3 linked regions of the Saccharomyces cerevisiae S288C genome follow. Changing the gene in region 1 together with any one later gene gives a genetic interaction. Each region holds a gene or a part of one and is shown on either strand. Other genes may lie near its edges.

What was found. Genes that interact genetically often act in the same process or in processes that back each other up.
Region 2: mutations in DBP5 (region 1) and LRP1 together harm fitness more than expected from each alone (negative genetic interaction), as found in Saccharomyces cerevisiae (4 studies listed by BioGRID, with this or other methods).
Region 3: mutations in DBP5 (region 1) and APQ12 impair growth when combined (synthetic growth defect), as found in Saccharomyces cerevisiae (4 studies listed by BioGRID, with this or other methods).

The regions. Positions count from the first base shown.
Region 1 is NC_001147.6:413,959-417,528, reverse strand, and holds DBP5 (ATP-dependent RNA helicase DBP5), read left to right. Parts: upstream 1-1,621; coding exon 1,622-3,070; downstream 3,071-3,570. Other genes in the region: STD1 (Std1p), read left to right, coding at 1-1,182; TOM6 (Tom6p), read right to left, coding at 3,492-3,570. UniProt on the Saccharomyces cerevisiae protein: ATP-dependent RNA helicase associated with the nuclear pore complex and essential for mRNA export from the nucleus. May participate in a terminal step of mRNA export through the removal of proteins that accompany mRNA through the nucleopore complex.
Region 2 is NC_001140.6:265,922-268,592, forward strand, and holds LRP1 (Lrp1p), read left to right. Parts: upstream 1-1,616; coding exon 1,617-2,171; downstream 2,172-2,671. Other genes in the region: LAM4 (Lam4p), read right to left, coding at 1-917; putative serine/threonine protein kinase KSP1, read right to left, coding at 2,538-2,671. UniProt on the Saccharomyces cerevisiae protein: Required for exosome-dependent processing of pre-rRNA and small nucleolar RNA (snRNA) precursors. Involved in processing of 35S pre-rRNA at the A0, A1 and A2 sites. Required for activity of RRP6 in 7S pre-rRNA processing.
Region 3 is NC_001141.2:275,808-278,639, forward strand, and holds APQ12 (Apq12p), read left to right. Parts: upstream 1-1,915; coding exon 1,916-2,332; downstream 2,333-2,832. Other genes in the region: protein kinase PKP1, read right to left, coding at 1-485; GVP36 (Gvp36p), read left to right, coding at 718-1,698; TED1 (Ted1p), read left to right, coding at 2,619-2,832. UniProt on the Saccharomyces cerevisiae protein: Involved in the regulation of lipid homeostasis in the endoplasmic reticulum, thereby impacting nuclear pore complex biogenesis and localization, and nucleocytoplasmic mRNA transport.

The DNA.
Region 1 (3,570 bases):
CCACATAATAACCAAGAAATAAACACACCAAATCACTATAATTTGAGTTCCAATTCAGGAAATGTTAGGAGCAACAACAATTTTGTTACTACACCACCAGAATATGCAGACAGGGCAAGAATAGAAATCATAAAAAGGTTATTGCCTACTGCAGGAACTAAACCTATGGAAGTGAACAGTAATACTGCAGAAAATGCAAATATCCAACACATAAATACCCCGGACAGTCAAAGTTTTGTTTCAGACCATTCATCTTCATACGAATCGAGTATATTTTCACAGCCATCTACTGCTCTTACGGACATCACCACAGGCAGCTCGTTAATTGATACAAAAACACCTAAGTTCGTCACAGAAGTAACACTTGAAGACGCTTTACCCAAAACATTCTATGATATGTATTCTCCCGAAGTTCTGATGTCTGATCCAGCAAATATACTTTATAACGGACGTCCTAAGTTTACAAAGCGCGAATTGCTGGACTGGGATCTAAACGATATACGATCCTTGTTAATTGTGGAACAATTAAGGCCAGAATGGGGTTCCCAGTTACCGACGGTAGTGACCTCCGGTATAAACTTACCGCAATTCAGACTACAATTACTTCCCCTAAGTTCCAGTGATGAGTTTATAATAGCGACATTGGTTAACTCAGACTTATACATAGAAGCAAATCTAGACCGCAATTTTAAGTTGACAAGCGCAAAATATACAGTTGCATCAGCAAGAAAAAGACATGAAGAAATGACTGGGTCAAAGGAACCCATTATGCGTCTATCAAAGCCTGAATGGAGAAATATAATTGAGAACTATTTATTAAATGTTGCCGTCGAGGCCCAATGCAGATATGACTTTAAACAAAAGCGCTCCGAATACAAGAGATGGAAATTACTAAATTCAAATTTGAAAAGGCCTGACATGCCGCCTCCAAGCCTCATACCGCATGGTTTTAAAATACATGACTGCACTAACTCTGGTAGTCTTTTAAAAAAGGCTTTAATGAAAAATTTGCAACTAAAAAATTATAAAAATGATGCTAAGACATTAGGTGCTGGTACACAGAAAAATGTCGTTAATAAGGTTTCTCTAACTTCAGAGGAGAGGGCTGCCATCTGGTTTCAATGCCAAACACAGGTTTATCAAAGGTTGGGGTTAGATTGGAAGCCTGATGGAATGTCCTAGTAAATTTTTACAACAACGCAAAAACGAAATACCCCACTATTTAACCACTTAACGACATTAATATTAATTACAAAAGTGTTTGATACACGTACTATTATAGATTTCGACGACCTTTAAGATTAAGTAATACCTTTAATAATTTTAATATATTTTAAGCCTACTGCTCTAAAATTGCCCAAAAAAAAAACCCAAAAAAATCAACATTTAAATATGATGATACTCCCATATATATCGTATTTAAAGAATAACTCTGCTGTTGTCTTGATTATTTGATTGTTACATTATTATCAACGCGGTATTACCCGTATGCAAATTTTTCAATCAAGCAAAGCATTGCAAAATTTGCATTACCTTTAAAACCAGTTGACCTTTATACACCATAAAATACTCGATCAGCAACCAAGAACATCTATAAAAATACTTACCACCTTAGATCGGAATGAGTGATACAAAGAGAGATCCGGCCGATTTACTAGCTTCTTTAAAGATTGATAATGAGAAAGAGGATACAAGTGAAGTTTCAACAAAAGAGACTGTTAAGTCCCAACCAGAAAAGACTGCTGATTCGATCAAGCCTGCAGAAAAATTAGTTCCAAAAGTTGAGGAAAAAAAAACAAAACAGGAGGATAGTAATTTAATCAGCTCAGAATATGAAGTTAAGGTCAAACTTGCTGATATCCAGGCTGACCCAAATTCTCCATTGTACAGTGCTAAATCTTTTGATGAATTAGGATTAGCACCAGAACTACTAAAGGGGATATATGCTATGAAATTTCAAAAACCATCCAAAATTCAAGAAAGGGCGCTGCCATTATTATTACATAATCCGCCTAGGAACATGATTGCTCAGTCTCAATCAGGTACAGGTAAAACTGCCGCCTTTTCTTTAACGATGCTAACAAGAGTAAACCCAGAAGACGCATCTCCACAGGCAATTTGCTTAGCCCCCTCCAGAGAACTGGCCAGACAAACACTAGAAGTCGTTCAGGAAATGGGTAAGTTCACAAAAATAACCAGTCAGTTAATTGTTCCCGATTCTTTTGAGAAAAACAAGCAAATTAATGCTCAAGTGATTGTTGGTACGCCGGGCACTGTTCTTGACCTAATGCGTAGAAAATTGATGCAGCTACAGAAAATTAAAATTTTTGTTTTGGATGAAGCCGATAACATGTTGGATCAGCAGGGTCTAGGTGACCAGTGTATTCGTGTTAAGAGATTTTTACCCAAGGATACTCAACTTGTTTTGTTTAGTGCTACTTTTGCCGATGCAGTTAGGCAGTACGCAAAGAAGATCGTTCCAAATGCTAATACTTTAGAATTACAAACAAATGAAGTTAATGTTGATGCCATCAAACAACTATACATGGACTGCAAAAACGAAGCAGATAAGTTTGATGTTTTAACTGAGCTATATGGTTTAATGACAATTGGATCTTCCATTATTTTTGTTGCAACCAAAAAAACCGCAAACGTTTTATATGGGAAATTGAAAAGTGAAGGTCATGAAGTTTCTATCTTGCATGGTGATTTACAGACACAAGAAAGAGACAGATTAATAGACGACTTCAGAGAGGGTAGATCCAAAGTTTTGATTACTACTAATGTCCTGGCCCGTGGTATTGATATTCCTACTGTCTCAATGGTTGTCAACTATGATCTTCCAACGCTTGCTAACGGACAAGCAGATCCAGCTACTTACATTCACAGAATCGGTAGAACCGGTAGATTCGGCAGAAAAGGTGTTGCCATTTCCTTTGTACATGACAAAAATTCTTTCAATATTTTATCTGCAATTCAGAAATACTTCGGTGATATAGAAATGACTCGTGTTCCAACGGATGATTGGGATGAAGTCGAAAAAATAGTTAAGAAAGTGTTAAAGGATTAGAATTCAGTACATAATACCTCAAAATACGTAAAAGCTTTAATCTAATTTCATACACCAATGAATATATTATTACGACATCAATGGGTCCCATTTGTTTCTTCTCAGTTTGTTGATCCACTTTTACTTGTGAGGCAAGCTTATATAAATACAAACACAGCATATACCTTGTGATTTCGATACCTTTGTCACTCTCTTTTGTCACGGCTTTCCGGTGAACAGTAAACAGCCCGTATACAAAAGGCTTGCGTTAAAAGGAATACTAAATGTAAAGCATACTTGCTTTTTTTCCATTATATACACTGCTAACTCTACATAATTCGGGAATAAAATATAAACATATTTGACAAATTCTTTTGAGAACCCAAAAACCAATATATATACAGGTAAGTGAAAAAATCTCAACTATACAAGAACCAACCCCTTATAATTGTGGGGCCAACATGTCCATGAGTGGAGATTGAATAAACGCAACACCTGCAACGAAGAAGGCACCGTTTAGT
Region 2 (2,671 bases), on another chromosome or scaffold:
ATCTTTCTAGTGTCATCTAATGATGTATCATCTCCTGAGATAGCATTAGAGCTTGAATGTGAGTTCGAGTGAATATGGCCTTTCAAATTTCCAAATGCCAATCTAGATAATGATGATGGTTTACTTTTACTTCCTGCTTCCGTTGTATTAAGCTGTTGGTTACTTGGAGTTGATGATTTGGATGCTGCAAGAATATTGTCTAAATTTTTCAAAAATGGGCCATCGCTTTCTTTTGTCGATGAAGTGTTTTTATTGTTAGTGCTATTTTCGGAAAGGGCTCCTGATATATTAGATGAGTTTTTTTTCCTGTCCTTTGGTTCATTCCTGGAAATTGTTCCATTGTCAGCGTCTTGTACGTTTATTTTGGGAATGTGGCTTACGGCATTATGGGCGAAGGAAAGAAACGTTTCAAAGGCGGTATGTTCATCATGGCCGTCTGGAGTTTTTTCCTCAGCTTGATTGCTGGACCCTTCTCGTTTCCCACTTTGCAGTTTTTCCTTTTCTAATGCCTGGACGGATAAACTTGGTACAGAATTTGAATTCGAGTTACCATCCTGAAAGCGACCCTTCAATGAACCTGCCGTCAAATTCGTGTTTGTCTTTTCAAGCCTGTTTGTTTCCATGGGATCTATAACGATTGGAATATTGAATACACCTTGGCTATGCGCTAAGGAAGATGCCGCCGCCTTTTGAGATCCTTTTGCAGGAGATTCCGTGAAAGTTTCGGGCTTAAGTAAAGACGGAATATCCGGATTTCCTCCTACTCTTCTGAATCGCTCAGCACTGGCTGTTGTGCTAACATTCTCTCCTGTAGTATTATTTAAAAAATTACGATCCTTCTTGTGCTTACGTTTGACTCCAATTGTCCTTAAAAAGGCAGTGCCCCAATGGTGCTTCTTTTTTGAATCTCTAGTCATTACTGTATATTTTCAACACTATCCATGGAGAGTAAGAACCACACACAGTAGCAATAATTTAATATCAATGGCAATAGCAACGAAATTACAGTAGATACCGTGAGCCAGCAGAAACAGATTGATATTTCGTATTTCAAGAAGGCAGAATCATTCAACCACCTACCGTCCCCCAGGAGGACAGATCCCAACGAGGGACCTTTGCGCCCAATTCTACTCCTGCAAGGGTTTCACTTAGAAATGCTTTTGCCAAGGTAAAGGACCCCTAAGACTAGAATGAACTACGCCGGTCCGTCCGGCCGTCATACTCCGTGGAAATTTACTTCTAAAAGGAGAAACAGCGATCTTTGCCGCATAAAGCCAGCCACTACTGGCGTGGAAAGATTTTTAGATTAGAAGACAATACAAAGCGGCAACGTCATAACCTTGGTATTTATTGGGCAAGCATTTTCATATCAGCGTACATACACCAGCAATGGGAATGTAAAGAAGAGTCGTTACTAGCATATTTTCTATTCATGCGGGTACCCAACATGTCACGTTTCACGAATTCTCGTGCAGTTTTTCAGCGATGAGCTAAGGCAGATGGTTATGGACTGTGCCTTCTGTAGTCTGTGGAAGAAAAAACTGGTTAACAGCCTACAGTAGAAATCGATTAATATAAACATATATCTAGCAACGTAACGGAGTATTAGATCAGTAATGGAAGATATCGAAAAGATAAAACCATACGTTAGGAGTTTTTCAAAGGCGTTAGACGAGCTGAAACCAGAAATAGAGAAACTAACGTCGAAGTCACTGGATGAACAGCTGTTGCTATTATCTGATGAGAGGGCTAAATTAGAACTAATTAATCGTTACGCGTATGTATTGAGTTCTCTGATGTTTGCTAATATGAAAGTCCTAGGCGTCAAAGATATGTCTCCTATACTCGGCGAACTGAAAAGAGTAAAATCATACATGGATAAGGCTAAACAATACGATAATAGGATAACCAAATCCAACGAAAAATCGCAGGCAGAGCAAGAAAAAGCTAAGAATATCATTTCCAATGTTTTGGACGGTAATAAAAACCAATTCGAGCCCTCTATAAGCAGGAGCAACTTTCAAGGGAAGCATACGAAATTTGAAAACGATGAACTGGCAGAGAGTACAACGACTAAGATTATTGACAGTACCGATCATATAAGGAAAGCAAGTAGTAAGAAAAGTAAAAGATTGGATAAAGTTGGAAAAAAGAAAGGAGGGAAGAAGTAGAGGTCGACGTATACTGGTACATGAGTGAAAAAATGATTAAAGGTGATGTGAGAGCACAAATGCAAAAATGCTTATAGGGTTTATATACTTTTATAATAACAATAAGAACTCGTTGAAGTAACTAATATGTGTATATGCTATTCTTGTAGTTGGCAGTGAACACTTTTGTGTGAATTGACGTTATATAAGACTGTAGAAATATCTAAGAAAAGAGAGTTTTCATAAAACCCTTCAAGCTTAACTACCAAAAAGCATTCATACTTAGAAGTTGAAATGCACGATGATGCCAAATTGATGAAAAAAGCTAAAAATGCATTTCAGAAGGGAAGAAAATAATAAGCAACATAACAGAGGGAATAGGTGCGCTTAGTCTTGTTGCTGTAAAATTAACCAATTATTCTTGTATTGTTCTAACGATCCGACCATTTCATCCTGAATACTTGTCTTCCTGCCAGCTCCTAATTTTTTATCGTGAGTGGAGCCAGCGAAAGTTTGAGCAT
Region 3 (2,832 bases), on another chromosome or scaffold:
ATTTCCTGAAGACCTTTTGCCAATACCACAATGGCGTCCTCGTGGTCGTCCAGCAGTTCTGTGAACTTGGCCTGTATCTTGGGAGGATTGTGCAACTCGTACGGGTATGCGATTGATAGCAACGTTTGCAAGCTTTTCAAATACAAAGAGTTGGTTCTCTCAATATGAGGGTTGATTACCGCATTATACGGTAGCCTCTGAATGGCATTAAGCCGTTTACACGTCAATGAAAGCAACAGGTTGATTGTCTTGATCGTCAGCATGTACTCCTCCTTCTTGGTCAGCGGCGGCCTGTATTGCAGGAAATACTCGTAGTTTAGGGGCGCAATTGGTTTACTAGCGTAGTCCTGTATCAGCAGCTCAATGTTCGACCTAATCTTGTAATGCTGGTCGAACGACAGTTGCGACAGCAGCTCGTGTGAGGGTCGCTGGCGATGTGCCCAGCGCATTCCCCCACATTTCCATGAACGCATAATCTTCCACATACTACCGTGAAGGCGTCTTGATACCACGTCTTCCAGTTATGGTCTTGACTCACCAATGTTCTCAGTTTAATGTTGTTTGCTTCATACTGGCAGACATTTTCCCTTATTACCGTGAGAAGCGAGCGGTGGATTAATCGGGATGTCAAAAACAAGAAAATTGCAACCTTCTTCACCTATAACCTATATGATTTGTAGGCAGAGGAGTGGAATAAGCAACAAATCATAGTCATCAATGTCGTTTAATGCCTTCGCCAGCTCTTTGAGCAAGAAATTACAGGAAATATCCACAAGTGTTTCCGAAAAAACCCAGGAATTGCCCAGTTTGGCGCAATCCACCCAAAGAATGGTCCAGGAACGTTTGGGCCAGGTGACGGACATCTCCCAATTGCCAAGAGAGTACACAGAGCTGGAAGATAAGGTTGACACCATCAAACTGATTTACAACCACTTCTTGGGTGTAACTGCTATCTACGAAAACGGATCGTACGATTACCCTAAATACATCAACGAATCCGTCAACGAGTTTTCAAGAAGCGTGGCTTCCAAGTTGACAGAGTTGACTCATGCTACATCTGCGTCTGAGGCACAAAACATCTTAGTTGCTCCAGGCCCCATCAAAGAACCCAAGACGTTGAACTACGCCCTCAGTAAAGTGGCTTTGAACTCCAGTGAATGTTTGAACAAGATGTTCCCCACCGAGGAACAACCCTTGGCTTCGGCACTCTTGCAATTCAGTGATGTGCAGGCTAAGATTGCTCAAGCTAGAATTCAACAAGATACCTTGATTCAAACCAAATTCAATAAAAATTTGAGGGAAAGGCTCTCTTTTGAGATCGGTAAGGCCGATAAGTGCCGCAAGGATGTCCATTCCATGAGATTAAGATATGACGTGGCAAGAACTAACTTGGCAAACAACAAGAAGCCAGAAAAGGAAGCTTCCTTGAGAGTCCAAATGGAGACTTTGGAAGACCAGTTTGCTCAAGTCACTGAAGACGCTACTGTGTGCTTGCAGGAGGTTATTTCTCACGCTAACTTCAGTGAAGATTTGAAGGAATTGGCCAAGGCTCAAGCTGAGTATTTTGAAACCTCGGCTGGCCTAATGAAAGAGTTCCTATCCAACTCATTTGCGGAAGAGCCGGAAGCAAAGCCTGAGGTTGCAGAAGAAGAAAAGCCACAGACAGCTATCTCTATGAATGACGAAGACGACGCTTAATAGCCGCCCTGTTCTTGTCTTTCTCTCTCCTTCTCTATATATATATATTTACTTAATACAATATCATATTCTCTAGTGTCGTACGAATATTATCATTTATTTGCTGGCTTTTGTAGTGAGTATATTTTTTGTAGAGAAAATATAATTACTGGAAGAGAAAAAGCTACTGAAAAAAATTTCGTAACAGTCACCAAAGGGCAAAGTGAGCAACCCAAAAATGGACGCTACTCAACCGCAATACGAACTATCCGTAGTAACACAATGCCTAAAGTCTGCCATTGACGTCATCCAATGGTTGATTCCTACTATTACTAAGTTCAGCCAATCACACCCGTTAGTTTTCCAACTATTGTTTATTTTCTTCACATTTTATGTCTTTTACAAGTTGTTGATGAACTTCATTACTCTGGTCAAAAGATTCCTGTATTTGACGTTGGTAGTAACATGTATCGGTATTTATATGCGTGGTTCGCAGCAGTTTTTGACTGTGGACCTGTTGAATTTCTACAATTTCGTCATGTCAAATAGATACTACGCATTTAAAATTTATACTCTGTTTATTAATGCCCTGGAAAGAGAAATCAACACTGTTTATCATTTGGCGCAGATGAAAATGGAACAGTTGCTTAAATAGAGCGAAACGCCTCTGCTTACTCGGAACATCTTAAAGTAATTACATATCTTAATTTCTAAATATTCATATAGATAAAGAACGTTTTTTTTGCTAGATTCCTCCCCTAGTCACTATCAAATATTGAGCTATTTTTGGTGACTTGTGTTTTCCAAATTATTCATTACAATTGTGACTTGATTTCTGAAGTTTTAAGAAAAATTGCAAACTAAGTTATTACAAGCGATTTATCCGGTCGCGATTGAAGAACTGAAAACAACAGCAGCAGCATTGTACCAAGAATCCCAAGATGCTCAGGTGTGCGGTCAAGAAGTTTGCATATTTTGCCACCTTCCTCACTATCGTCGCTAATATTTACATCTATACTTATCCATCTTTCCATCCAGAACAGTGTTCATGGAACTGCTCTAACAAGAACGCACCACTACAGAAAGATTTGACTTTTGTGGACAAAGTGAAGAATTACTTCAGTGATGTTCGAGAGCAATGGCATGGTAGCCATG